Linked DNA regions of Tamandua tetradactyla. The protein of the gene in region 4 purifies or fractionates together with the protein of the main gene of each other region. This does not show direct contact. Links are inferred from orthologs where the notes say so. Each region holds a gene or a part of one and is shown on either strand. Other genes may lie near its edges.

Region 1 (7,559 bases), on a different chromosome or scaffold from region 4:
ACTTTGAGTAAAGAGATGAACAAAGTTGATCTGAATAGGACTGAGATATATCTGAATACAGGGTAAAGGATGATATTATCCAGATTGGTCAACATGAAGATGAATTTGAGGCTGAAGATTAGGTGAAGCCTCACCTCATAGGGTTTTACTTAATAAAACAAGTGCATTGTGTAAGATGAAGGAACATTTAGAAATATACTTAATTTATGGTGAATAAAAGCATTGCACTCTCAAAAAAAAATGTGCATGGTTCCTATTTGGAACAATGAAAATGTTTTGGTAATAGGTAATGGTGAGGACAGCACAACATTGTGAATGTAAGTAATAGCACTGAAATACATAGTTGAATGTAGTTTAAAAAGAAATATTAAGTTGTACATAAGGAAAATAATTTTTAAAAATTTAAATCCCCAAACAGTGAAACCCTAAACAGTACAATTACAAAAATATGCTTTCGTCAATTGTAACAAATGTCCCACATAAATGAAAGGGGCTAACAAAAGATCAGTGTGGTGCTCTGAAGCTGTATGTCCCCCAAAAAAACATGTTCTTAAATCTAATCCATTCCTGTGGCTATGAACACACCGTGAGTAATCTCATCTTCAGTTAAGTAACTTACTTCAGTTAAGAAGGTGTTGCCTACCTCAATCAGGACCGGCCTTAATTCTGTTACTGGAGTCCTTTATAAACGGAGTGAAATTCAGAGAGAGAAAGCTACAGGAAGCAAGAGGTTCATCATCCATGCAACTCGGATGAGATGGAGAGACCCCACGTGCCTTGCTATGTGAAAAGAAGCCAAGAATTGCTGGCAGGCAGCCCAGAACACCAGACTTCAGGTGGAGGCATTCCTTTGATGATGCCTTGATTTTCATTTTCTTTTAGTCTCAACACCATAAGTTAATAAATTCACATTGTTTACATCAACTATTTCATGGTATTTCCTGAACAGTCTAGGAAACTAAAACAGGTAGCAACTCTGTATTTCATGTATGACTGTTCTGTAAACCCACAATTTCTTTAACGATGGTGGGAAAAAAGACAACTGATTAGAAAATAAAAATTTTTAAAAAAGGAGGACTAAAGGAGCAGTCAGTGCTCCTTTATTCCTGGAAATTTTCCAGGAATTTCCCCCAAATTCCTGGCTTGGATAAATGGTTAAAAGATGGTGTGATTTATATATTGATTCAGTTCCACTGGCACCTATGTTCCTAAACAACAAATCACACATATCCTGTTACAATGTATAGGTGCAACAGCTTGCCACCCTGTTTCAGAGCTAATCAAAATTGATACTGATCAAAGCATGAGTACACTGCCCAACTGCACAATAACCAATCCTGTGACACTGGGGTTTCAAAGGGAAAAAGAGCTTTATTGCCCAACACAGAGCAGGGAGAATAGGAGGCTTATGGACCTCAGATCTGTCTCTCTGAACTGTAGTAAATCCTAGAGTTTTATAGTATTCAAAGATAGGCAGGTTTAGTACAATAAATATAATGACTTTAAGATGACAAAGATAAAAATGACCTAATTACTGAGCATGCACAAATTGATTTCATGCTTAGTCACAGAACATATGTGAGGTATAGGTATTATAATGAGGGATAACCTGTAGGTTAAGGTTTAAGCTACTGTGCATGTGAGGTCAATTATGATTAGAACTAACTTTGTCTAATAAGATAGCCTAGGATTTGGAATGGGTTAGTTCTGAGTTAACTCAAGTTCCTTCATTAATAAAGATTAAGGGACTGTCCAAGTGATCACAAGACTTCAAAGTTGCAAAACAAGATAAGGGGGTGCAAACAGGGCCAATCATGAGTTATGATGATGTTTTACAAGGTAAAGATAATACAGTTACACAATAAAGTATCATCATCATAGATCAAGGCATCTGGCTTACAGTTCAGTGAGTTTCGATAGTGTCAGGTACTTACTTTTGGCTATTCAACAATATATCACAAAGTAAGAAAGCATCTAAATGATTCAGTTACTATAATCATTTGCTAACTCTAGATTACAAAATGGTACCCATTTTTAAAAAATATTGAAGGATCTGTTAACACATATATGTGCCAGGCCCAACCAAAAATACTTTTCTCCATCAAAATTAGGAGGAAGTTGATTTTTCAAGTTCTCACATTGGTAGCTACTTTGCCTTTGGTAAAGCAATTGGGCATGAGTATCTTCCTTGATTTTCATCCTGGACCCATTTCCCTATCCACATTCCACATCCCATCCCTTCTCACAGTCTTTTCCACAAACTTTACATTAAAAATTCTCTATATCTTCAACCTAAACTTGTCTACTGAACTCTAGACTCCCATATAGTAGAATCTTTCTTACCAACCTCACCTTAACTGACTTAACTAGAATAAGTAAGTTTCGTATTCTCTCCAAACCCTCCAAAAAAATACTGGCTGATGCCCATGGCAAGATGAGGGCTTATACCTGGTAGGTTTCACTCTAATAAACACTCAAACTTTTGCCAAGTAATTTGTGTGTGTATCCAGATCCAGATGTGTTTATCCTCACATCTGTTTTTCCTATTTGTGCATGTTATTGTAATCATGTATTTAATGACACCGATGAAATATGAATGCAAAAAGGGAGTTTCTCACAAACTAAGTTGCATGCTTTAAAAAGGGTCTTAAAAGGTGATCTTTAAAAAAAGGAATTAGGTGCAGGCAGAAAATTGAAAAAGATGAAGAAGTACATAAAATTCTATAGTGATCCTATGTTCAAATCCCCTCACAATAGCCTATGTCCTCCTTGTTAAATAAACTGACATTGAAAAATGCTAACTCTGCAAAGACAAGACAAAGTCAGACCTATCCTTAAAGTAAAGGTCTTAAGCCTATATCAAAAGATTGGCAAGGGAATGGATAGCTGTAGGTTTTAAATTCATATAAAAGTATGTAATTGTTTTTTTTCCATGATTCCCATTTTTAACCAACTATTTCAATTAACTAAGTAATTACTGGCCCAATCATGTCAACCACCAACTAGATATCTTTATTTATTTTTTCCTCCAAATCTGTTTTCTACTCATCCATTGCCTAAGCTAGAAACCTGAAAATCATTCTTAACACCTTCCTGTATCTCAAGCCACACATTCTTAATCCCAAATCCTGGTGATGTTTCCTTCAAATATTTCTTAAATTCTTTACCTCTCTTCTTCATCCTTACTACCACTGTTCTAGTTCTAGCTCTGGAAATACACATTTTAACTGTTCTTCTGCCATTTACAGGCTGTAAAGACAAAACTTCTGAGAGACACATTTACTAAAGGATATAAAGTATGCAAAGCGTTAACAGAGAGAAGGAGTGTACTAAAGGTTAACTATGACTACATAGTGGATCGCACCAGAATTACACGAATAGCCTCTTAACGATTCAGCCCCATCTCTTATTTGAGTTGCCTTAAATTCACCCTTCAAACTTCCACCAGTTAACTATCAGAAACAAAAATGTGACTAAATCAAGTCCTTGGATAAGATCCTTCAATGACTAAGGCCAAACTTCTTAGCGTGGCTTACAGACTCAACATGATCCACTAGAACACTAGAACATCATGATCCATTCACTCACACAGCTCCTTTATACACACACACACACAGACACATACATACACACACACTTCCCTAAATTAAAGGCAGCGAATCTCCTGTAAGTACAATAAATATATCTGCTTAAATCATTAATTTCCATTTTGCAGAGAAGAGCTCAGAAATATTCAGCAAACATTAATTGACTTGCTTACGATGACAGGCTAGCAGGACATTCTGACCCTTAGTCCTGAAATGCTCTATAATATCAATTCCTGCTTCAAATCCTCTTGCCCTTCAGGTGAACCATTCAGTGAAAAGAGCAATAGGCAAAGGGAAGAAATAACAGACCTCAAGAGCACTACGAAAAGATGGCACATAACGGTGACACCAGCCGAGGGGTCAACCATCAAAGCACCACCTTGTATTCTCCCCCAGCCAATAAGTTACCTGCTGTAAGTACTGGTTAATAGTGATGTGAGCCATGGAAGTGGACCGCCGAGTCCAAAGCAAGAGTGAGCAACGATCACCGCCCCTCGCTGGATCTCCAGAAATACAAGCTGAGTTCCCACTTCCGCTGGCGCGCTGGCGTCACTTCCGAGCCGTGGTCCGTCTCTCAACCCGAGCCTCCGAGGTGGTCTGGTTACACCTTCCCTTAGCTGTTGGCTCCTGAAGAATTCCCGCGGGAGCGGGAGTCAGAGATGGCTTGTCTGCGCGCTGGAACTTCCGGGCCTCAGTCGGGTGGGACAGCGGGAAAAATGGGCTGAGGAAGACCGAGTTGTGTCCTCGGGTCCTCATTTCCAATTTGGTCCCACCCAGGACGCACTGGGGCAAGTCAGATCATAGATGAAGGGATAGGTGAAGTGTCATGGGAAGGCCCCTGAGACCTGAGAGGGTTTGGGATTTCGTGGCAGAGGACAACCTCATAGCGTAGCTTGTCTTTCGACTCCTCTCGACTGTTGCATATTTAAAAAGAAAAAAAAAATCCGCTGTGTTAAACCCTCGTACGCCGCTGATCTACTCTCAGGCCCTGGTACTTGGGGTACCGGGGCGCGCACGCGCGGTGGGAGTGGCCGTTGGCCTCACGCTGAGTGACCCGGGTGGCTCGCAGAGCGGGGTCTCAGGGGAGGTGAGCGTGATTGGCCGCCCCAGAACCCCTCATCCTCTCAGGGCACCAAAGCTTCCGTGTACGCAACGGAATCCAATTACACAGATCAAGATGGAGATTGACATTAAGTCGGCCCCGAGCTGAGGGCACCTGAGCCATGGGGACGGGACGGGAGAGACGGGACTTGAGAACAATAGCAAGGGCATGAGAGTTGGCGGTTGGCAGGAAGCTCGTGGAAGACCGGGCTGAGCCACAGAGGGCAGCAGTCACTGCGGCTCGTGCAGCCACGCGCGGGGCCGGCCCCTTTTAGTCACCGACTCTCCCTTCCCGAGGCGGAGTCCCGAGGAGCCGGGCCGAGGGGAGGGGGCGGGCCTAGGAAAGTTGAGGCCGCCGGTGGGGGCGGAGAGGAGGCCGGGTTCCGGCTCCGGCCGGCGGCAGTGTTTACTCCGCACCGGCGCCGGTTCCCAGCCAAGCGGCCGTGTGGGCGCTGAGATTACTTTTATCTGGGGAAGAAGGGAGGGCTGAGAGGAACTGCTCCCCTACGTCTCCGCACAGACTCCCCCGAAACGCGCTCCCGAAGGAGACACCCCGCGGCTTCCTCCGCTCCTCAGCCTGCCGGCGGGGCCTAGCTATCACCTCCAGAGGGGGCCGGGGCACCGGGCGGGGGCGGAGAAGGAGGCGGGGAGACCAGGCCGCGGGGGAAGGAGGAGGAGGAGGAAGCGCGGCCCGGGCCGCGACTGGAGGAGGGGACAGGCCAAGGGTGGGGGTGGGGCGGAGCGGTCGCCACCGGTTTGTTTTCTCGGCTGTAGACATGGCAGACGAGACCCCCAAGAAGGGGAACTTTTCGGCTCTCGTTGGACACACCAATGGCCTAACGAAACCTGCTTCCCTCGCAGCAGCCGCCGCCGTCTCCACGAAACCTGGGGGCGGCAGCGGCTCAAAGAAATTAGTGATCAAAAATTTCCGAGGTAGGTGCAGGAGGGCGATCGTGCCTTACTGTGGGGGAGGGGAAGCTTAAGTCGAAACGGGTCACGGGCCGCACCGGCCCCGCGCGGCGTCGCCGGGACCCTGGGGAGCCCGGCGGCCAGCTTGACGCACCTCATCGAGGCTGCGGGGGTGATCGTCCCGGGAGGAAGGGGCGGCGAGAGCGGCTTCCTGCGCCCCCCGCGGGCGAGGCCGGCGCGTTGGGCCGCGCTGAGGGGACGTCGGGGCGGGGACGGCCAATGGGGAAGGGGCGCGGGTCGCCCGCCCCGCGCACGCGCCGGGCTGACCTGCGCCGACCTAGCCTGCGCTGGGCGGCGCGGAAGAGGGGCTGCGGCATTTACGCTGTGGTACTTGGTGGTCCGCCTCCCGCCACCGTCTACTTCCCAGTGTGCATGCAGGCCAACCCCTCAGCTTTCCATCGTTTGCTCGTTGGATTTCTGTGCAAGCCCTCTGTGGCTGTTCATCACGTCACTTTCAAACTTGATCATCACTTTGGTCCGGTCACCAGACGGTTTTGGACCCTACACCTTCTGGGTACGGAGTGGAGGAAGGTTTTAAAACTTGTGCAGGGGTTATAGGACAATACATTTCTTTTCTAAGATAGTAAAAGGCCCAATGAGTCGGCATTTTAACCTGATCCTGCAGGCCACGTTTCCGCAACTCTGCCGGAGTTGAGCATTTTCTACATCAAAACTAAAAAACCTTTCTTAAATGTGTGAAACAAGGGCTTTTAAAACCTTACATGACTACATGATTTTGGCGATTTATTCTGTAATTTAACAATGTGCCAAGTTTTATTTGTACCAGTTTTTTCATTACTCTGCAATTGATAGAAAATTACAAATTAGGTCAAATAATTAAGGCATCTTGATTCGCACAGCTCAACCAGAGTAACTTCTGAAGCTATACATTTTTCCAGTTTTTACCAGCCCTATCTCGGATAATAGGTCAAAGCAAGCGTTTTTGATACAGGTATATACAATCTTAAGCTCATTCTTCACCTTCCTCCCAACATTGCATAATTTAAATAATTTTAAAATATTGTGTAGAGAATAACTATTCCATGTTATTACCTTTCTGAAATCAACTTAAGGGAAAAAAACTGTAAGATTTATAAATTGTCTTTCGTGTATTTATCCGAAGTATCAATGCCGAATATATTTAGCAAAACAGAAATAATATGGTTGCATAACTTGTAACCCAATACATTTATAAATGGTGTTTAGAAAATTCACTTCCTATGTTCGTACCTATGTGTCTTTTCTTTTAAATTCTTGGTTTGTAGACCATTTTAAGAGATGTATAACTGTTAGCATGGAGGTCTTTCTGCCCTGACTCTCTATCTGGATTTGCAGACAGACCTAAATTGCCTGATAATTACACTCAGGATACATGGCAGAAGCTTCATGAGGCAGTGAAAGCCATACAAAGTAGTACCTCCATTAAATACAACCTCGAAGAGCTCTACCAGGTAAGCGTCCAAGTATGTTAAAAAGTAGAATTTGCCAGAATTTAGAGACATGAATGCAGAATTTTTCTGAACATGGAAGACTTCAAAATTTGTTTAGGATGGCATTTAGTCTCTACAATTACCTGGTTGTTTTATGGCTTAAGTTAATTATCCAATTCCTGTGAGTTACGATACAAATTTAAATTACGTAATTCGCTCAATATTGTTTTCAGAGTCAATAATGAAGGAAATAATATAAATCCAAATGTCTCACTATGTTTGCCTCATACATTAAAGGGTTGTATAAAAGTGTGTCCCACTGTCACCAATTATTTATGGTTGTTGGTTGTTGGCTTTTTATTTTGTTTTCAGGCTTAACTTGCCTAGAAAGATATTCAAGTTATCCAACTACAATAAAGAGGATAGGTATTTCTAAAAGCCACATGCCCCTAACATTTTCCAAATATGTAGC
Region 2 (7,039 bases), on a different chromosome or scaffold from region 4:
TATTTTTGGCAGGGGGCTCCAGGAGCAACATGGGAAAGAAAAGCCAAAGTGACTATTAAGAACATTATGGTAGTTATTCAAGTAAGAATGGACTGCGGCCTAGACCTGTGTAGTGGAAATGGGACAAAGAAAAGTGCATAGACTGAAGTAAAATTGAAAACACTCAGGGCTTATCTAGATATGGGCACTGAGGCAAATGGAGGACTCAAGAGTGAAACCTAGGTTTTTGGCTTTCCTCCAAACGTAACCTTGAGCTGGTCATATAGCCTCTTTCTGTGTTATTTCATCACTTGTGAAACCAGTTTAATAACACTTGACCTATCAATCTCAAAGGATTATTATTAGGATAAAACAGTTCTATTATCAGGATAAAATAGACACTGCATGTGAAGGTGTTATGAAAGTATATACTGGCATTACATTACAAGTACAACAGTAGCAACTTTCTGAATACCTTCTATGTCTGGCATAATGCAAAGCATGTTAAATATACTATCTCATTTTAATTTTCTCTAAGAAGTCACTTACCCCTACTTTACAGATTAGAAAATTTAAAAGTCAAAAATGTTAAGTCCAAGGTCATTTACTGTTAAACACTGCAGAACCAGTATTCAAACACAAGTCTGTTTGACTCTACAATTCTTTCTAATACACTGCCCTGTCTCATTAGGTTCTTTCTTAAAATTTTCTCCTTTATTGGAAATCCCCCTTAATCGAATGGCTGAACACCAGCTGCCATCTCAATTTCTTAATCATGGATGAAAATAAATCTGCTACTGTGTCGATTTGAAAGGATTATATGCTCTAGAAAAGCCATGTTTTAATCCTCATCCATCTTGTGGAGGCACCTGTTTCTTTTCATCCCTATTCAGCATTGTAGGTTGGAAATTTGATTAGATTATTCTCACAGAGATGTGACACCCCAATTGTGGGTATTAACTTTTGATTAGAGGGAGATGTGATTCCACCCATTCCAGGTGGGTCTTCTTTAGTTTACTGGAATCCTTTAAAGGAGGAAACATTTTGGAAAAAGCTTCAGAGCCATGAGAACCACGAGAGCCCAGGCAGCCAGAGACCTTTGGAAATGAAGAAGGAAAACATTCCCAGGCGAGCTTCATGAAACAAGAAGCCTGGAGAGAAAGCAGCTGTCAACATGTTCGCCTGTGCCTTTCCAATTGAGTAACCCTAAACATCAGTGGCCTTGTTGAACCAAGGTATGTTTTCCTGGATGCCCTAGATTAGACATTTCTATAGCTTTGCTTTAATTTGGACATTTTCACAGCCTTGGAACATGTAAACCTGCAACATAATAAATTCCCCCTTTTTTAAAGCCATTTGTTTCTGATATATTGCATTCCAGCAGCTTGCAAACCAGAACAGCTACTACAAAGCAGCTTACCTTTTTGTCTGAAATTCTCCAAAATGCATTCTAAAATCCTCATTCTTTACAAACATTAGCATACATTGCTCTAGAAAAGCCATGTTTTAATCCTAATCCATCTGGTAGAGGCAGCTGTTTCTTTTAATCCCTATTCAGGGATTAAAAACAAGACAAAACATTGTCTAATCCATATTACTCTATTTTGTATCATATACTGAAAATAATCAATTTAACCATATACTTTAAATTGCTTGAAAGTGAGACTGAGACTAGCAGAATGAAACATGCAAATAGATTGTCTGGATCCTTTTGCTAAGAATTTTGACTAATGCCTGGTAGGGAATCAGTGGAGACACCTAATTTAAAATACTGTTATTTGTCTATCATGGATTGTTGGCATTAATTCTGATATCTAAAAATATTTCATTAAAGTATTATTAATGTAGATCACTGAGTTTTTGGGTGCCCCATTAAATTCTGCACACCAGCTAAGTGCTTCACTGGCCTCATTCTAGTCACAGACCTGACCAAGGCAGCCCACTCAGAAGTCTTCTCACTCTCCCTTCCCCTACCTACAAAAAAATGCAAGAAATTCCATCACCCTCATCTCTGTTCACCTGATAATACCTATTTTCCGCATACTTATGTAACAGTGGTTATGGTAAATTCACACTCACACTAAGAAATGTCTGCAGAACTAATTACAAGTCACCTTCTACCGTGTAGTGCTGTTACTCAAACTTACGTCTTTGTGGTTCTTAAAAATACAAATCTACCTAAATCAACTATACACCAGGATATTCACCGCAGACCAAACGGAAGATTGAGAACAATTCAAATGCCAATCAATACGTTACTTGTTAATTATATCATTCTTACAAAGAATGTTATGCAGCTGTTAATGAGGATGAGAAATTTTACTTTTTTTTCCCCAAAAAGCAGGTCATCCAACAGTGCATATTATAAATTGCCAATCTGTGTGAGAAAAGTACTTAAAATTTACATACATTTGTAAACTTAAAAATCATCTGGGAATGACTGTATGGTATGTGAATATATGTCACTAAAATTGCATTAAAATAATCATTGGGGGAATTCAGAAAGTATCTGAAGCTCTCTGTGCTTGCCTGGAAAAAGTTGAAATGTGAAAGGGAGAAAGACTTAACTTTTTACCTTATGTTCTTTTGCATCTTCTGAATTCCTAACAATTTTCATTAGCATCTATTAAAAACAAAGTACAAAAACATTATCACATACCTGGTGGGGGGGAGGATTAGATGTTAGGAAACAATTTTGGAAATCTTTTGGAATTTTTTGGTCTATGAAGCCTTTAAGTTGTTTTCAAACCTGCCTTTAAGGCATGGTGGCCTCGGATATTGTTCTGAGCCATTCGAGAGGACTGAGTTGCTTCTCCTCGACTCCCATGGCAACAATCCGTAGCTTTCTATAGACATCTAACACTTCTACCTTGCTTTATTACATCCCTTTATCTCTGCAAAGTCTAAAATACCAAGGTTTAATTCTGAGGAGGGAGAGTCCTCATCAGATTAGTTTCTGTATCTCCACAGAATCTGGCACAAAGCAAACAGTTAACAGAGAACTTTGCCAAGAAAGTAAAAAGACAGCCTACACAATGGGAGACAATATTTGGAAATGACAGACCAGATAAGGGTCTCTAGTATCCAGAGATATAAAGAGATTGTTCAACTCAACAACGAAAAGACAAACAACCCAATTACAAAGACGTGAACTGACACTTCTCAGAAGAGGAAATACAAATGGCTAAAAGGCACAGGGAAAGATGCTCAACTTCCCTGGCTATTAGAGAAATGCAAATCAAAACCACAATGAGATACCATTCCACACCTACCAGAATGGTCATTAGCAAAAGAACAGAAGACCACAAGTGCTGGAGAGGATGTAGAGAAAGGGGCACACGTATCCACTGTTGGTGGGAACGTCATACGGTACAACCGCTGTGGAAGGCAGTTTGGCGGCTCCTCTGGAAGCTAAGTATAGAATTGTCTTTTTAGTTTAAGGTATATTAGAGAGACTAGAGGGAATTCCTGAAACTGTAGAGCTGATTGTATAGACGTAGATGATTGTATGATACAGCTTTCACAATGCGACGACTGTGTGATTGTGAAAATCTTGTGTCTGATCCTCCATTTATGAGTAAAAAATATGGATTAAAAATAAATAATAGAGGGAACAAATGTTGAAATAAAAAATTTTAAAAATGTAAAGAATGTATATTTGTTTATTGCTTTAAATGGTGAAAGAGATAAAAGAGGCAGGGGAAGGAAACAGAGCAAATCGCGCAAGTGAGGGAGGGAAGAAGCCCACCCTAAGCTATGAGGATAGAAGACTCCAGGAAAGGGTTGCTTGCTCTCCAATCTTCTCCCGCAGGCCTCACCCCTGCCTATGTCCTGAGATCCAGGGTCCCTAAACTCCTGCCAGCCCGCCGCCACACCGGAAATCTAGGCGCCTGCGCGCCAGGGGAATACGCTCCAATGACGCTGCGCCAAGGGCGTGAGGGGGAGGAGCCCAGAACGTGGGGCGGAGCCTCGGGCAGAGCGGCCACTGCCCAATGAGCGGGTGCCGGCTGAGCCGCGGCCCAATGACGGCGGCGCGCGCGCACGCTGGGGCGGGCCTAGCGTACCCGACTTTTCCAGAAGGGTTCCGAATATCACCTTCCGGCCACGCTGAATCGGTCTTGGGTTTTTTTTCCTCGGTCTCTGCTGGGTCAACTATGGCGGCTGTGAAGACCCTGAACCCGAAGGCCGAGGTGGCTCGAGCCCAGGCGGCGCTTGCGGTCAACATAAGCGCGGCGCGAGGACTGCAGGACGTGCTGAGGACCAACCTGGGGCCCAAGGGCACCATGAAGATGTGAGGCAGGGTTGGCGGGGAGGGCCGGGCGGGCCGGGGACCGCGCACCTCGCGGCTCGACGGGACCAGGGTGCGGGGAACCCGGAACTCGAAACCGTCTCCTCCGAGCCTCCGCACCCTCCGGGACGGGTCTGTCCTATTTTCCTGTGCCGGGTACCTTGATTCCGGCTATTCTTTCTTGCGGCCTCCGTGGGGAACAAAGCCGCCCTCGTGCGCCGCACCCCCCACCCCACCATCCCTATGTCTTCCTGCGGTAATGAGGGTTCGGCAGACTGTCTCTGAAGGGAGGGGGTGGGCACTGCACCATCTCTGTTGACTGGGAATAGAGATTTCCAGCGCCCTGTGAAGCTGTGGAGCTGTGGATGAAGCCCGATTTTTTATGAAACACTTTTTTTTTTTTAAATGGGACTGTTTATTTTGTCTCTGTTGGAGAGAAAATCACAGTAATTAATTTCTGCTCATTGAACAGGCTTGTTTCTGGAGCTGGAGACATCAAGCTTACTAAAGATGGCAATGTGCTGCTTCATGAAATGGTGAGAGGATATTGTAGGACAAAAATGTCTTGATTTTCCATAGTACGTTTGATTTGTGGGAAAATCTGTCTTTTCTCAAGATTAGGAATGCCATCGTTAATATGACAGAATACAGTGATGGGATCTAGATCTCACTTACATTTTTAAACAGTTATAATATTAAAGTTAATTAAAATAGCATCTGAAAAATTAAGAGTGATTGATAGAGTCAGATGGGCAAAATGGAACAGGATGATCACACTTTTTCACTTTTTAAAGCCCTTCCATCTTACTTGCAAGTGGCGGGGAAATAAAACCTTTTCTTTAAGGCTTTACCATTTTAAAGTCCCAAATGGCTGGAGAATACGAGATATTTGAAAGTAATAATCGTTTTACTCATTCATGAATTGCCAAAACAGTAAATCCAGAAAGAGGGAATGAGCTGTGATTTGAGTTCAGAATAAAATTTAGGATTTTGATGGTAGACAAGTATGCCGTCAACATCCAAATATTCTTCAGTAAGGACTAGCTAACCTAGACGGTATAGTTTGTTTTGATGGATTAAATGGTGACAATGCCAGTAGGGAACAATTGGGAGCAATCACATAAACATGTCAGAAAAGTCAAATCTACATGGTGGTTATTACAAATATCTTTTAACTTGCATTTCTTTGATCAGATACTTATTTGCTTTGCCTTTTGTTTTGTATTTATAATAAAGAGAAGCAGTACAATGTTTACAGTTTAACAAATAAGTGTAAAGCAATCATGTGCATTTACTCTCTTAAGAAATAAAGCATTATCACCTCCAAAGCTGTCACTTGTCTCTCTTTCTCCAATCTCAAGAGATCCATTTTTAATTTTTCATTTTGAAAAACTAAGATCTATACCCTTTACATGGATTTACTAAATACTGTTATCACACCTAAGAAATAGACACAATGCTAATCTCATACACAGTTCATACTTGTTTTTACGGTTGTTTGCTCAAACGTCCTTATTAGCTTGTTGCCTTTGTTGTTTTTCCAGATCCAAAAGAAAAGTTTTTCCATGACCTGTCATAATGTGCCTGGTGATAAGACACAGTGAAAAGTATGCAATTTGTCAAAAATCAGCAAATCTTAGATAATAGCAAAACCTAGATTCTAAAAAGAAATGAGTCACCAAAGACATAAGCTGGCCAACTGTTTTAGACTAAAGAACTATAGTGAGTCATGAGAACTAAATGCAGTACAGAAGCCTTGATTGGATCCTATGTAATTAAGACTAGGGTGCTGTTGAAAACGAGGTGAATGTAGGGTTCATCTGTTGCTGTTAATTGTTCTGTCATCTTAAACCTTAACTTCAAGCTTCTGCAGTGGAGATAATCTGAGATTTAAACAATGAATTGGTATACAGTAATAGCAATGCCGAACATTTTAGCAGTTCATTTAAATGAATAGCACTTTAACAGGCCCTTTACCCATTTATTTGAGGTATAATTGGATTGCTTCATTTTAAGTCATTAAGTGGTTTTTTTTTCTTTTTCTCTTTTCAGCAAATTCAACACCCAACAGCTTCCTTAATAGCAAAAGTAGCAACAGCCCAGGATGACATAACTGGTGATGGTACTACTTCAAATGTCCTGATCATTGGAGAGCTGCTGAAACAAGCGGATCTCTACATTTCTGAAGTATACATGGTTTATGCATCTCTGAATTGTATTGTATATATAGGAAATACCTGAATTTTATTTATAGTAATTGATGTGTTCATAGTTACTTCATTGTCTGACACAAATTTATTTCTGACCCCAGACAAGATGAGGGATCTTCCTTGCCTGAAAAAACAATTTTATCAAGTTGCATTGCATATAATTTTTATGTCCATCTTTATTCTACAGACATTAATATATAGGGGCTTAGAAATCAAATGTGTATGACTATGTATATTTCTAAGGGAAGGCCAACCAAAACCTTAAATCAGAATTTCACAACCTTTTTATTCCTAAGTACTTCCAGGGCCGCAGCAAACTCCATGACTACAAATTCAATGTCAGAATGACTTTACAGGAAACAAAGAGAAAACAGACTCTTAGCTTTCCTTGTATTTGTTTTTATTAGTAAATGATATGAATTCCAGAAAAAGTAAATTGTTCCTATTAACTGCAACTTAGGGTAGTTTTGAGTTTGGACATTGTCTTTGGTTTGCACAGTGAACACCCAAGTGTGCTTTATATAGTTCCCTTGGTTTTGACGCTGTGCAAGAGCAATATCTG
Region 3 (6,971 bases), on a different chromosome or scaffold from region 4:
ATACAATTAATCAAGACTCCCTTTCTCATGGTCAATTTCTGGTAAAAGCAAACTATTAGAGAACAGACTTCAAGGCCACACAATTGCCTGAGGGGCCTTGCTCAAGGGAAGTGGGAGGTTAACTTAATATCTCAATGATTTTGTTCTGCCCATTCTCAGAAATGACCAGTAGGCAAACAGCTCATCAGAGGGTATATGTGGCATTTGCTAGCAGAGAGAACAAAGGACAAAGAAATCTAAATCTCAATTCGACTTTCGGCAAATCTTTCAACTTTCCTTGGCTTCAGTTTACCCATATTTAAAATGGGCAGAATAATCTTAATCTGTCACAGGGATGACGTAACATGAAATATGCAAAATGTATAAAAGCATGCAATCTAGCCTGTACAACTCAGGAGTCCATCAAGGCTACCCTTTCTCACTCCTCCTGTTCGTTGCTTTACAAAGCCACGGGATGCCAGAAATTATGGCATTAAAATAAAAAAAGCAACAGGCTCTATGTCTCTGGCTGGATGCCAGCCTTGCTCACCTGGTACCACAGAAGCCCAAGAGGGCTCTTCCTTCTGTGACCTTGGGGGCAGATCACTATATTCTTAGGAAAAAAAGAGGGAATCATCACTATCCCATTTCCACCTCAGAGGGAGGCCACAAAGAGCAAAGAAATACACTCAGATGTACTAATCTACGGTGCATCCACGGAGTACTTGGAATTACTTGGAAGAAAGGTGTGGGAGAAATCAATCATTATAATTAACTACCATTTTCATGAATAATTATTACCACCCTGAACAAAGTCCCAGCTTCCTGAGGGCTCCCTTCAGCTGCTTCCCCTATGTTCTTGTGGTAAAAGCTAAGGTTTTTATCATTTCTGCTCTTGGTTTCTTAACCCTGCCCTCTAAAATCAACCAGAGAGGGAACCTAACTGCAGGCTTTTAACCCAGAGACCTCAGGCCTCAGGCTGACCAGCCATGAGGAGCAGGGAGTGAGGCAAACTCTTTCAAGCTTTTCATGAAGCATTTGGCCAAACAGCAAACTCCCAGCCCTCTCTGGGATCAAGTGAAGAGAGTGATATTGTGTTTTTCTGAATTTTAATTGTTGGGATGTGGCCACACACGGCGGTAATTGGAACAATGCAACTACCACTACGCAACTGATACTGTTAGCCTGAGTTTCCTAAAACAGGCCAGGCTGAGAGGGGGAACAGAACGGAAGCCATAAGGAATCAAACCAGGACACAAAAGAAGGCAAACCAGCTCCACGAGGGGCCTCTTCTTTCTCAAGCAGGCATTGAAAAAAGTATGAGAAGCCCTCTCTTGCCGCGTTCCTTCCCCTTCCATTTTGTATATTTGAGGGGTAGAGTCAGCCCTGAATGTGCACCAAACAAGTGAAAACTTCTCAGCTTAACAACTGGCACGGGGCTCAAGCCTTTACAGAGCAGCAGGCCGCTAGGCCCTCCCCACAACCCCACCAGGCCCAACTCTCAGCCCAGGCTTTACCTCCTCCACCAGCCCCCCAATAAAAAGATCGAACCCCCATCCCGTTTCCCATTCAATGGCAATAACCCGACACCAGGGTCTCAGGGATGCTGACGTAGTGCTGAACCTGGAGAACCGAGGATCAAGTCAAGCGAGGTGGGGGGGCAGCGCGAGGGAGAGCCACAAATCCCCTAGGAATATTGCCCCCCAGGTCCCAGCCCCACACCTTCTGGGAGACTGAAGGAAAACATGAGGGAGTCAGGAAGGTGCAGGAACAGGTAAGTGGGGATCCGAATGGTCTTCCTCCATATGGTTCTGGTGGGGATATGGGGTGACAAGTGGGGAACACCCCTCCCCCCCACTCCGATGAAGAAGCAAAAGGCCAGGCCCCCTCCAATCTTCAACCTCTCCCTCCGCTGCCAGTCTGTCTTCTCGGGGTGGGGCATGGGGCATCCGCTGGCCCTCGGCGTGAGGGGCGCGAGGGCTCGCTGAGGGGGGGCTATCGCTGGCCTTTTCCCACTCAGCTTCCATCATTTGGCCGCGGGAAACAAACTCGGGACGCAGGGTATGGAAAGGGTCTAGGACTTAGCACTCCGCCTCCCCCTCCCCCACCAGGTCCCGTGCTCTCCCGGCGGAGGCGGCCGGCGAGGCCCGGCCGCGCTAGCAGGCGGGCTGGGGGAGGGGAGAGAGAGGAGGGAGGGACGGCCGAGGTGCCCGCCCCGAGGCCCCAGCGCCACCTGCCCTCCGCCACCTACCGCGGCTCCTCCAGCTCCCAGGGCCGCGGCCGGAGCAGCTCTGAGCGCTCGGTTCGCCCCACGGTGCCCTTAAAAGGCACCGGCGCTAACCATCGGGCCCCTGAGGAGAGTGGAGGATTCGAGGTGGTTCGCAGAATCCCTCTGATCTGTCCGCGGGGGCCCGAACCCCTCGTTGTTTCTCTGTTACAGTCTTCCTCGAATAGCTTTGTCGGGAACCAGCCTGGCGCTTTGATTTAGCAATGGGGGTGGTTGACTCCCCATCGAGTCAACCCCCCAAAATATTGCAGAAGGTGGATGGATCCAGTTGCAGGCATATCTTGAAACCCGCGGGGGAGGCAGTGTCCGACGCAGGTAATTAAAGCCATCGCCCTCGCCCCCTATTCCTCCATCGGCCCAAGTGCAGACTCCCACTCTGTTTGGATTGTGTAATAGTATTAACCAAGGTTCCTCTCACCTGTTCTCCTGCCCCGCTCTCCGCCGCCTCCTCTCTGAAGGAATCCCCCTTCCCCCAGCAGAGGACTCGTCCGCGGCGTGAAGGCTACCGGGAAGTGTAGTCCAAGGGCCGATTAGGGCCTGCTCTGGTTCCGTGGATCCCCCCTTACAGCTGCGGGATCGGCTCGAACCTTATAAACCCAGGACTTAATAACGGTCGCGGGGCGGTTCCCACTTGATCTGTAATTAGATCTCACCCAAAATACTTTGTAAAGCTGAGGAGGGCCCACGGTTGTTCACACCTCTTTCCTCTTCGCAACCCCCCCACCCCACCACCAAGAGGATGAGGTAATGGGATTGTGATTATGACATCATAGGCGGTTCAGTTACTTGCGGGGGCGGGGGGGGAGGGAAGGTGGGAGGGAAACGATGGTTACGTCTGGACCACTTTCCTTAAGACAGAGAGGAAGCAGGGAAAAGGGGAAAAGATGTTGTCTAGGTTTTATTTCCTCCTCAGGAAGAGGGAAACCTCCTTTTATTTAAATCACCGCCACGACCACCTCCCACGGCAGCCAAAGTTTAAATCCTTTTTAAAGAGACTGAATGTAGATGTTAGTAAATGAAGAAGTTGGGGAACAGCTGGATAATTTCTGGTTCTGGTGTAAATTTCTTAGCTAGCAACAAACATGGTTCAGAGAGACAGGCAAAAAGAATGAAAAAGGAGAGGTTTTGAACAATTGCTTTCCTGTTGTGATATCTCTTTGTAGGGCAGAATTTTAGATTTTTTTAATTGATTGGAAAGTAATAGTAATGCAAGTAATTTTCACTATTACACTTACAACAAGCCCCTGAAAGACATCTGTTTTCTCTAACTATTTTGTGCCCCACTCAGATCTGGGACAGGGTAAATGGCTGTGATCAGCTAGAAGTAGAGTCAGTGGTAGGGATCTTCTTCACAGAACCAGGGAAGGAAGGAGGCAGGAGCCACCGAGTCCACAGACTGAAAAAGAAAAGAGTAGAGGAAAGGTGAGGTACTTATCAAGAAGATAGGGGTGGGGGGAAGATTTACCTTGCACTACATATTTCTCCTTGGGGGGAAAAAAAAGAACAGAGAAGAAACCTTGACATATAGAAGACATGGTTTCCAATGTTGTGGAGCGCTTACATACCAGGCACTGTGCTATATTCTTGAAATAAGTATTCTCACTTTTGCTTACAATTACCAAGAGACAAAAACACAAAACAAGACAAAAAACAACCCTAATTTGGCAAATGAAAAAGCCCAAAGGATAAGTGACTGCCCAAGTGATGAGTAAAGGTAGTATTAAAAATCAATTCTGCATAGCTCAAATGACCCCAAAGAGAGGTATGGAAAGATCAAAGGTGATGGTGAAATTATACATAGAAGATAGGACTTAACAAATAAATATGAACGCTGGATCATTAAATTGATCTCTTTTAGTTTCCAGTATTTTAGAGGAGCTAGAAGTAAAAACCTAAAATTGCGAAACTGTAACCCATGTCAAAGTCTGAAATAGGTTCTACAACTAACTGTGGTGCTGTGCTTTGAAAGTTATAGCTTTTTTGTATATGTGTTATTATTCACAAAAAAAGAAGAAAAGTCAACTGTGGTAATAAAAAAGTATTTAAGTCCTCTAGCCTCCTATATTCTGGAGCAGCTAGAAGGAAAAATATGAGAGGATCGTATGGTAGCCCATGACAAACTCTGGGATCTGTCCAGTAACCACTTGTTGAAGAGTGCCTTGAAAACTGTTGCTTTTTTATTTCTTTGCTTTGTATATATGTTATACTTTACAATAAAAAAAGTTTAAAAAATCAATTCTGTAAATGTATTAAACTTGTACAAAGAACTAATAATAGAGTGGTATATGGGGGGAAAAGTACCTGTTACAAACCATGGACTGTAGTTAACAGTAATATCTTAATATTCTTTCATTAGCAGTAACTAACATACTACACCAAAACCAGGGGACAACAATAAGGGGTGATAAGGGGCATGGGGTATTCTGGGTTTTCTTTTTATTGTCTACTCTTTTTCTTTTTGGAGAAATGAAAATGTTCTAAAATTGATTGTGATGATAATTGCCCAACTAGGTGATGATACTGTGAGACATTTTATACTTTGAATGGATTATATGGTGTGTGAATTTATCTCAATAAAATTTGTAGTTAAAAAAAAAAATTAATTCTGCCCCCAGTACATCCAGAGGATGACCCTGTAGATGTGACACGAATCTGAGCTTCAAGGTACATTAAGCCATAAAACAAAACTAAAAACCCTGAAACCTTAAAGCCCTTGCTCTTCACCACTAGGCTATCCTCCTTTTTATTGTCATCCATCCTTCAAAATGTTAAATGATTGAGTAAAAGAAGTTAAGTTAGCATTGGCTCACTTGAAAAACACTTAAAAAAGAATTGACAAACTTAAAAAAAAAAAGTCAAGTTTCATACAAAGAAAACTTACATCAGCTTTCATCAAGTGAAAACAATACCTGCCCTTCCCCAGTGCCACCCAAAGGCCCACCCCCACCCTAACTATAATTAAATCTCCTTATACCATTCCTAGTTCTCAAGTGTTTTACTCATGTTCTGCTATTTTTTCTGTTGCCTCCTTTTCTTTCTTTTGTTCTTGTGCTACTACCTTGAACCCCATCTTAATTGTGACTTCATGGGCCAGTCCCTATCTTTGACTGTGCTCCAGTGGATTTCAGCAGAAGATACTACCTTCTGGTCTCCATCCAGATCCTATGAGGGTTCCAGGGCCTGGAGCTTGTCATCCAGTAGGTCATCCAAAGGGGTAGAATCCACTGGCTGTAAGAGTTTCTCCATTCCCTGCCTAGGAAGGCAGCACAGTCAGAGGAATATGCATCTCATACAGTCATTCCCTTTTCAGCCAGTGAAAGCTAAACCTCTGTTGGGTGGGGAGACGTAGGACTCAGCCCACCACTCACAGAAGGAACCAGAAATAGCAAACACACCCCTCATCCCCACTGCCCTGCAGAGTCTGGCTGGGGGGGTCCCAGGAATGCAGGGCTTTTCTCCACTGTCTGATCTGGGCATCCCAGGAGCGACGGCTGTACTTCTTGTTCTTGTTTGGAGTTTGAGGGTGAATCCCTGGCTGTCGCTGTGCCCTAGTAATGAGAAATGTGGGTCAGACTGAGGTCAAGGTGAAAGGGAGCCCCATATAATAGGGGGCACAACTCACTGCTTATCATAGTGAATGAGGAAATTTGTTAGTGATTCCTGAGAATGGTGTAAGATCCATGTTCTTGTGGAAGGCTGAGTTATGTGCCCCAGAAAAAAACATGTTCTTAATCATCAGCACTCCTGTGGGTGTGAGCCCATTATAAATAAGACTTCTTGAAGATGTTAGTTAAGGTTGGGTGCAACTGAATGAAGGTAGATCTTAATCTGGATTACTAGAGGCCTTATAAAGAGGACTTGGAGGTCAGAGAAGCCAGAAAGGAGAAGCTTTTGTAATGTGACTAGAGGCAGATAGACAAGCCAAGGAAATCCAAGGATTGCTGACAGGCAGCACAAGATGCTACAGACCCTCAGGAGAAAGCAAGCCTTGCTAACATCATGATTTTAGACTTCTTCTAGCCTCAAAACTGTAAACCAATAAATTTCTATTGTTTAAGCCATCCCATTGTGTGGTATTTGTTATAGCAGCATGGCAAACTAAGAGGGTCCTCAATCCAACAAGAAAAGTAAATCTTCCAATCACATTAAACACCAAACTTCTGACCTTCGGGAAAGGGTAAGTTAGATAGTCCCAGCTTCCTTGGAAGCCAAAATAGACATAAAAGACAGTGTTTATCTTCCCTTTAAAATGAATTCTACCTTTTCATACATTTAGTTTGTATATATACATGTAAATTTGCATGTAATTAAGCAAGTATGTTGCAATTATCCAACTCAGCTGGAAGCATGAGGGGATAGTAAAAGTGGTTGGAAGGAAAACTACCTCATTAGGAAACACAGGTAAAGCTTTAAAGTCTTATGGGCCAAGTATTACTTGTTCCATTAAAAAAAAAAATCTTAGAAACTTATCTTTAGGGCTAGATTGCAGGAGACTTGGTTTTAACAATGCTGTAACTTTGTGAGAGCACTCAGATTTTAGTATCTTTCCATCACCTGACATTGAAATACAACAACTTGGTTGACACCATTGTTGTCACCATCCCACAGGTGCACTCACTTGGGGACCTTTTGCAGAAAGCACTGATAGCCAGGTGTGCACTTGCCATAATCTATTTGTTTTTGCCGCCGCTGCAGGACAACTTCA
Region 4 (7,709 bases):
TGTTTTGTCAATCATTTCCTCAGGGCTAGAGGCCCCTGCCCCTTCCCTCCCCAGCTTCCCAGCCCTAATGGCCTGTGTCCTCAGGGTCAGGGAGTGAGGCTGGCTAGGGGCTGGGCGCTGCTTTCAGGGGTAGATACAGGTCAGCCCCCTGGGGCTCTACAGCAAGGCACCAGGAGACCCCCTGGGTTGCAGGTGTCTTCACAGTGAGGCCTGAGCTAGAAGCTTCTACCCAGCCGGTCTCCCCAGGCTGGGGCCCTACACCCTTCCCAGGGCACAGCTCCCGAGCCTTGGAAGCCAGACCTCTAAGGTGGCAAGACTCCATGTTCTGGGGTACCTAGATAAGGAGATCCATTACCCCCACCCCGTGTTCCCATGGTGGCTGGGGGAGAGGCACAGGTCTGCTTGAGAAGGGACAGCCCTGTGGACAGGAGATAGACCGGGGCTTGGGCTTCCCTTTCTTTCCTACAGGTGTAGCCTCTGTCCTGAGCACCTCAGATGCATCTGGCCTCTGGCCTGAGTTGCTTCAGTAAGTGTCCCTGAGGCATAGTTCTCCAAGCCCTAAGGGAGGTTCAGACAACTGGCCTCAGGAACTGGGCTCCAGGCTGGAGCAGCTGCAGGCCCAGCTGAACAGGTGGGTGCCTTGCAGGCCAGGGCATGGAGTGGTTACAGAGGGTGGGCCCGGAAACGGGCTGGGCATGGGTGCTCCCTTCTGTGACTTAGGGACTTCACTGAGTGCCTGGCTGACAACTGTGCCAGCCTTGCTTTTTTAGGATGGTGAGCCCTATTTAGCTACAGTTCTCCCCATTCTCTGAGTGTCCCAAAGCACAATGCCAAAGACATCATTATGAGGACTGAAGAAGGATGTATGCGTGGCGCCTCGTCATTATTATTATGGGAATCAGGGAGGTGCTTAGGGGTATTGGGGCAGGGGCTTCGGATCCTAGTGGGGAAAGGGTTTTAGTTACCATGCTACACAAAACTGAGATCTGTCCTCAGGACCTGAACTGCTCTCACCAACCCTGACCCTGACTATGGGGTTCTGTCTGGCAGGCTGGAGTTCCAGATGACCTCAGACCTTAGGCGCATCCTACAGCTCCTTCAGCAGCCCCCGCCCCAGGGCCGCACCCACTCCATCCAGGGAGCCCCTGCCTCCATTGACCTGCCATTGTTTCCTGTGACCTCAGCAGCTCAGAGTCCCTGGCCCAGGCAACCCTAGGACGGCCTGCCGCCTGCACAGGTGAGCAGGTGAGGGGATATCTAGGAGCTTGCCTGGAGCTGTTGCATGCCGCCTCCCCCAGCATGGCTTCAGACCCAGGGCCTCGGTGACCCAGAGCAGCTGTGGCTTCTACTGTCCTCTTTGGTTTGAGTCATGACAGGGCAGTGTGGAAGGGTGGTGGCAAAGCCCAGATTGTGACCTCCTGGCTGGGACAAGGGTGGCAGGTGCCTGAGGTTAGGAGGAGCAAGCATAGTTTCTGCCAATTCCCACCCCTGAAGTCAGGGTGGATGAACCTGTAGCCTGGCCTGGGGGCTGCCCCTCTGCATGCCTCCAATCATTTCTTGCCCCTCCTAGACCTCAAGCTGTAGAGACTTGGACAAATGTCCACTGAAGAGCAGGAATTGCTCCTCCAGGATGCATCATCTGCTTGTGGCAGTGGGCAAAGCTCTGGCACCATCCTCGAAACAGGAGAAGCCTGAGGGGCTCCTGTCACCTCTGGCCTCACCTCTGTGTCCCCCAGGGGTTCAGGGGCCCATCTGTGGTCCTCGCTTCCCCTCCCTCCCTGAATCCCTTGGCTCTGTCCCTAAGCAGCTGGCGTTCCAGAGATATGGCTCAGATCCTGGATTTGCAGGAAGTTAGAGCCCCTGAATTCCAAGATAAAAGACATTCTGAAAGGATGAAAGTGGGTGGGGTGAGTGTCAAGGATCCTAGGGGAGGCAGACAGCCCCAAAATGCTGTCTGAAATGGGCCTCTGAAAATCATTCTCCCGGAGTAACTTCAAACTGCTAACTTGCGTGACCCAGGTGGCGTGGGTGAAAAGACTTGGGATTTTTCCAGCCACCCCCAGGGTTCTGTTTAAACAGCACACCTGGTGGAGGAGTGGGTGCCTCTGGTATGGAGTAGCTTAGAGGACTAAGGAGTCAAGGAAGTAAAGAGAAGTTTCTGTTTTCTATGGGATCACTTCTTGGCTCAGACCCAGCCCGACCTCATGGCCCAGGACCCAGCACCCATGGTTGAGGGTCAGTCAGACCTCCTGCTGAAAGCCTTTGACTTGGCTGAAGATGATGGCCTCCTCTTTGGTTGACCTGCCAAGGCACAGAGCTCCAGTCCACCCCTGACAGTTCTGTGATAACCTTGGGGCCCATGTAGGTAGTAGAGTGTCGCAAAGTAAGCAGCAAACACAAGTCTGTATATTTCATGTTGGCTCAGGTGTATAATCAGGTCCTCAATAGCTGTGGTCTTCTCCAAGCCCTTCTCACATGCAGGTGGGAGCTTGTCCTTCACATCCACTGTTGGAAACCTGAAAGGTGGCTCCTCTGGACCCAGGAGCCCCCAGAGCATGGGCTCTTAGCCAGGCCAGGGAGAAGGGAAGCAGGGAGGTGCTGACTTGGTGGCTGTCAGGAATCATGCCAACTGCCATACACACACATAGCCGTCATCCTGTGCTGGCAGCACGCTGCCCACTTTGAAGACTGTTCATCTAAACTTCACAACAACCCTATGGGGTTGGTATTATTACCTCTATTTTAGACATGTGGAATCAAAAGCAGAGTAAGACTAAGAAACTTACCCAAGCATGGTGGGAACTCCCAGGGGGCTGGTCGTGTTCTGTTTCCTGATCTGGATGCTGGTTACATTCTGTTTATGTTGTGAACAAATGTGCACTTCTATGTGTAAATTCTAATTTGGTTAAAAAAAAAAAAAAAGACAAAAAAATTTTTTTTAAGTAAAAAGAATCTTGCCCAACACAGTAGGAGGATATAATTTCAAACCAGTCTCTGGCTTGAGAACCTGTGCAGTTAAGCACTGCACTGAAATAGGCTCTTCTGTCATTTTTGCTCAAGTACCCCCTAAAGGAAATTTGAACATTTGTATCCCTCCCTAATGCATTTTTAAATTGACAGCTGAACTATTTCACTGATAAGTTTAAATCGTTGCAAAAGATGTGATTCCCACTGTCTTGTAAATATTGACACTTTATAAAATTGTTTTGTCCCTTATTTATACTGACTCGTGATCCAGATAGCATAGTGATTTGAAAGCCATCGTTATCCACAAGAACAAGCCCTTCTTTAACATTCCTTTTTCTCTTTTTACTCATAATTCCACTACTTTCCCTGTTTTACTCTACATGCATTTCATGTTCATGTTTCAAAGACTATTATTAATCACCCTACAACATCTGTTTGCAGCACAAACAGGAGTATAAATTGAACGTTTAAAATTAATTTTTTGAAACGTTGCTAAAGCTTTAGGAGTTACATTTATTCTTAGTATAAAGTTGTTCAAAACAAGATAAATATATATTCACATTTTAATAAAAACTAAAAATTTTGAAATGCATTCCTTAAAGAGATTGAAAGGGAATTTCCCCCCCAATTAGGTCATATATCTGTGGATGAATATCATTACTTTTTATTAGAATAGGGTAAGCCTCAGCAACAGTTTTGTTGGTATTTTTCTTTCTTTTTTCCCTAAACTTCAGTGCAGAAAAAAACTTTTTCACATAAATAAGTGGCTAGGACTAGAAGGGGGTTGTTACAGCACTGTTACTCAATTCTTTTAATTTTTTCCGAGTTGTATAATAATCACATTTATCATTAAAAATGGTATTTAATGATATGATCTAACAAGTCAATGCAATCTTCCTTCATTTTTGTTGAAAGCAAAGAATTGGAAACCATTTAAATTATAAAAAGATGTTACCCAGATTTTCATTTTCTCCATTTCAAAGTCACGGCACTGATACATTTCGGGCTCGGTTAGCATTTGCCTCGGGATCCCGTGGGGGGAAAAGATGGGATGGGATGGGATGGGACGGTACCCGAAATGAACCTGGAGCCAAGCTGGTCGTGCAGCTGTCTACTGAAGACCAACGAGAAATCCGAGCATATCTGGAATCGCAGGAGAGCGCGGGAAGGTCTGCAACAGGCGGGTCCGAGGCCCGTCCTATGGGCATGGGAGAATAGCTGTCCGGGTTAAAAGGGGCGTTGGAAGCATGCGAAGCGGGGGTGAGGGAGTGTTCCCGTTCCGTGCGGGTCAGGTTGCCAAGCCGCCGGGCTCAGTGCCGCGAATGCAACAGGCAGAGTTTAAATTTTACTCGACAGCGTGGAAAGGCCGCTTAGAGTAACTGCAACAGCGGGTAGGTCACAGCAGGTCACACAAGAAGTTTCACGCTCAAAGACTTGGCCTAGAACTTGGAGGGCCGCCTGCCTGACAGGCTTGCCTCTCTACCCCACGCCCCATTCACCCGCACTGCGCTGTTATCCCTCTGATTGACATCTTTGTCAGCCAATGACCTTTGTGGCTAACAAAGCGCCTGCCCCCAGGAATTAGGCGGGACGAGAAGTTGGAATGGCACGCATTTACGCCAATAGAAAGGAGGCTTCAAAAGCTACGGTCATAATAACCAATGAAACGAAGGAATGGTTCGAAAGGACGTGTCAGGCAGCCAAAGGCCGGAGCCGTTGTGGTGGTCCCGTGGCTTCCGTTCGGAGGGGGCGGGGCCGCGTCCCAAACGGAAGGTGGTTGTTGTCGGTACCCTAGCAGGTTTGAAAGTGGGGGTCGGGCCCGGCTGCCTTTTCTCTCGTTGCGCCCCCGCCCCGCCTCCCTTCGGACCCTTAAGTCCCAGGCCCGGCTCCCAGCCCTTCTTACTCCTCGCCGGCTGCGGTTAGCTGCCGACCCGGCCCTCACTGCGGCCCTGCCGCCGCCACCATGTCCCTACACGGCAAACGGAAGGAGATCTACAAGTATGAAGCGCCCTGGACCGTCTACGCCATGAACTGGAGCGTGCGGCCCGACAAGCGCTTTCGCCTGGCGCTGGGCAGTTTCGTGGAGGAATACAACAACAAGGTGGGCCGGGCAGGGCTCGGAACCCAGCTGGCGGGGAGCGGGCCCCGGGAGCGCCCTTACGGAACTGGAGCCCAGACCCCAGAATCCCCCTGCGGACTGGCCTTAGCGCCATGGAGCCGTTCCTACGTATCTGGCCCTGTGCTGAGGGTTTCTCTTTTTTTTTTAATTGTGGCAGCACTCGTGTAATCGGAAGTGTCGTTATCCCCATATGACTGATGGGGAAACCGAGGCACAGTGTTGTGACTCGTCAGGCCAGACAGCTGTTTCGTGACGGAAGCAGGTCTCAAACCTGAGTTTACACGAGCTACGCCATTTATCCCTCCCCTCCCCTCCCCTCCCCTCCCCACCGCTCCCCTCCCCTCTCCACCCCTCCCCTCCTGCCGCAGTGCTTCAGTTGGGGGGCGGGGGAGGGAACAGGGAGTGATGGCTGTGAGGGAAATGCCAGCGCTTCGGTTGGTGGTCGTTCTTTCCTGGCCACACTAGATTTCCCTTTAGGGCTTAGGGCTGTTTTTTGCACAGGCTGCCTCACCTCCACCCCCAGGTACTGTTGATGATTCCCAGCCCTTCTGCCGCTAGTGCCATCGGTATTGCCGCCTGATAACCGTCCACTCTAAAGTGATCTCTTTTTGAAAGTATTGGCGCATGGCAACGGACCTTCCGTTGTTTCCTAAGGAAGGATGATGCTTTTTATAATGTTATTTTGGCTCCTTTCATGCGAATACAGATGTGTAACCTTGAGTAGTCTTTTTGGATATCCACCAATTTGAGAAGCCTTCATAGAAGCTTTGGTAGGAGAGGAAGCTTTTACGTTGGCAGTGAAGCATGCATTTAGTTTTGAAAGTTGTTGACTAAGTCGGGGGGGAACTATTCTTTCCTTTACCCCTTGATCTCCTTTTATTATATTTGAGTAAATGTTGTGATTGATAGTGATCAAGAACAACCGAAAGCTTTGACTGGTGATGTTTAAAGCCAATACTCCCGTTTAAACCATGATAACAGACTTAGGAAGAATAAAATTGGACAGTGAAAAGCATGGTGCAGGGAATAAAAAGCCAGATGGTCTAAGGTTGAATCCTGTCGGTACATTGCCCAGCTGGGGGTATTGCACAGTTGAGTTCTATTTTGACCCACAGTGTGCTGTAGGAAAGGGGTTCCTTATTACATGTCAAAAGCCTGTAAAAAGTATTTGAGAATATTGTTTCTTTTGTTTTTCAGGAATATTGTTTCTTTTGTTTTTCAGGATCACGAGTTACTCTAGAGTATGTCTTAATTTTTTTTTTGTAGTACCCTTTGAGAAATTGATTAAAGCAATGGACTTGCATTGCCTACATTGCATGTAAAAACAATTTACGGACAAACCCTAGGAAGTATGCACTGATGTTCAAGTCCACCCATTGCCCACAGACAACAGAGTCCTGCGCAAGACATAGCTTTATCTTCTTTTCTCTGATGCCGTTTATTCCTTATGGCTGATCCATAGTGGACAACAGAGGTTGAAATGGATTTTGGGACCCTGATGTGGAAACCGTGTTAGTAAAATTAAGGCCAGTAGAACTACTGTTTAAGGACGCATGTTGGAAAAAAAAAAAGTAAAATATGTTTTTCAAAGGTCTGGAGTCTTCTCAAACAAGACTTTTCTTACTCTTTGCACATTTTTTCCAGGGTCGGTCTGATAAAAATAGTAGTCCCATTTCTAAGATAGGGGAAACTGAGGCACAGGCTGTCATGGAATCTGTGGAGCAGTTAGTGTCAAACCTCAGTGGCAGAAACTCTGTCCCAAGTTTGTCCTTTCCTTCAGAAACCGTATGGTTCTCCTCCTTTGTACTGAGCACACACGATAGTGAAATGCAAACTAATAATTCTAGTAGTAACAGATTAAATGAATACTTGCGTCTTAATTTGCTTGCATGATGTAGTCAGTGCAGAATCTTAAAACTATTTTCATGTCTCCACCTCTCCATAGGTTATGGCTTTTAACTTTAGTATGTGTGCTATGTACACCTTTGGCAGTCTGCAGTCTATAGATCCTTTCTCAAAAATTTTTTTTTCAAATCCATAAATTTATAGGAGTACCCAAAAAAATAGTTATATTTAACTACAGTTACCAAAACATTTTTTTAAAGTGGTGATGTAGTAATATGTACTACATCAGGTCATTTAACAATAACTAGTATAATTATAACTGTAATTTTGAAATAGCAAAGAGGGTAAACAGCATTTCAAGATAGGCTTAAAACTAATGTGAAGTGAAAAAAATCAGTGACTTCTATTGGTGACAAAGTCACAGATACTGCTAATGCTGTATCTCCCTCCATCCCTTATTGAAGGAAATGCTAAATTTCAGCTGAAGGTTAGTGAAAATGGGAATATGTTTCCAATTGAAGTTCGTGGACATCAGGGGGAACCCCTAGAGGGTGGTAGGCAGTAAATCCCACTTTAAAGCAGTGGTTCAGATACTAAGTTTTTGAGAACCCTTTCCACAAAAGTGGAAGACTTCATAATTTAGAGTAATTAAAAAGTTATTGGTTAGAATTTTCAGATCTTTGGTTCCTGCTTACCACAGATAGTGACTGCTAGCAGAAGACAAAATCAGTGGACACCTCGCAGATTAATATTGATGAAAAAGCTCAGAAATGGCTTT

Evidence for each region.
Region 1: the proteins of DCAF7 (region 4) and CUL4A purify together in Homo sapiens (affinity purification with western blotting; 4 studies listed by BioGRID and IntAct, with this or other methods). This does not show direct contact. The link is inferred for Tamandua tetradactyla from reciprocal best matches to the Homo sapiens genes DCAF7 and CUL4A.
Region 2: the proteins of DCAF7 (region 4) and CCT6A purify together in Homo sapiens (affinity purification with mass spectrometry; 3 studies listed by BioGRID and IntAct, counting the BioPlex papers as one, with this or other methods). This does not show direct contact. The link is inferred for Tamandua tetradactyla from reciprocal best matches to the Homo sapiens genes DCAF7 and CCT6A.
Region 3: the proteins of DCAF7 (region 4) and FAM53C purify together in Homo sapiens (affinity purification with mass spectrometry; 3 studies listed by BioGRID and IntAct, counting the BioPlex papers as one, with this or other methods). This does not show direct contact. The link is inferred for Tamandua tetradactyla from reciprocal best matches to the Homo sapiens genes DCAF7 and FAM53C.

The regions. Positions count from the first base shown.
Region 1 is NC_135330.1:183,681,186-183,688,744, forward strand, and holds the start of CUL4A (cullin-4A), read left to right. Parts: upstream 1-4,559; 5' UTR 4,560-4,674; exon of another isoform or gene 4,675-5,462; 5' UTR 5,463-5,464; coding exon 5,465-5,621; intron 5,622-6,024; coding exon 6,025-6,171; intron 6,172-6,992; coding exon 6,993-7,108; intron 7,109-7,559. Other genes in the region: PCID2 (PCI domain-containing protein 2), read right to left, coding at 3,996-4,031. UniProt on the Homo sapiens protein: Core component of multiple cullin-RING-based E3 ubiquitin-protein ligase complexes which mediate the ubiquitination of target proteins. As a scaffold protein may contribute to catalysis through positioning of the substrate and the ubiquitin-conjugating enzyme.
Region 2 is NC_135349.1:18,495,411-18,502,449, reverse strand, and holds the start of CCT6A (T-complex protein 1 subunit zeta), read left to right. Parts: upstream 1-4,021; 5' UTR 4,022-4,133; coding exon 4,134-4,270; intron 4,271-4,739; coding exon 4,740-4,803; intron 4,804-6,319; coding exon 6,320-6,454; intron 6,455-6,968; exon of another isoform or gene 6,969-7,039. UniProt on the Homo sapiens protein: Component of the chaperonin-containing T-complex (TRiC), a molecular chaperone complex that assists the folding of actin, tubulin and other proteins upon ATP hydrolysis.
Region 3 is NC_135346.1:18,004,432-18,011,402, reverse strand, and holds the start of FAM53C (protein FAM53C), read right to left. Parts: upstream 3,011-6,971; 5' UTR 2,685-3,010; intron 2,611-2,684; exon of another isoform or gene 2,231-2,610; intron 1-2,230. Other genes in the region: oocyte-specific histone RNA stem-loop-binding protein 2-like, read right to left, coding at 5,429-5,519, 5,662-5,814, 6,885-6,971.
Region 4 is NC_135332.1:4,678,397-4,686,105, forward strand, and holds the start of DCAF7 (DDB1- and CUL4-associated factor 7), read left to right. Parts: upstream 1-4,708; 5' UTR 4,709-4,930; coding exon 4,931-5,068; intron 5,069-7,709. UniProt on the Homo sapiens protein: Involved in craniofacial development. Acts upstream of the EDN1 pathway and is required for formation of the upper jaw equivalent, the palatoquadrate. The activity required for EDN1 pathway function differs between the first and second arches.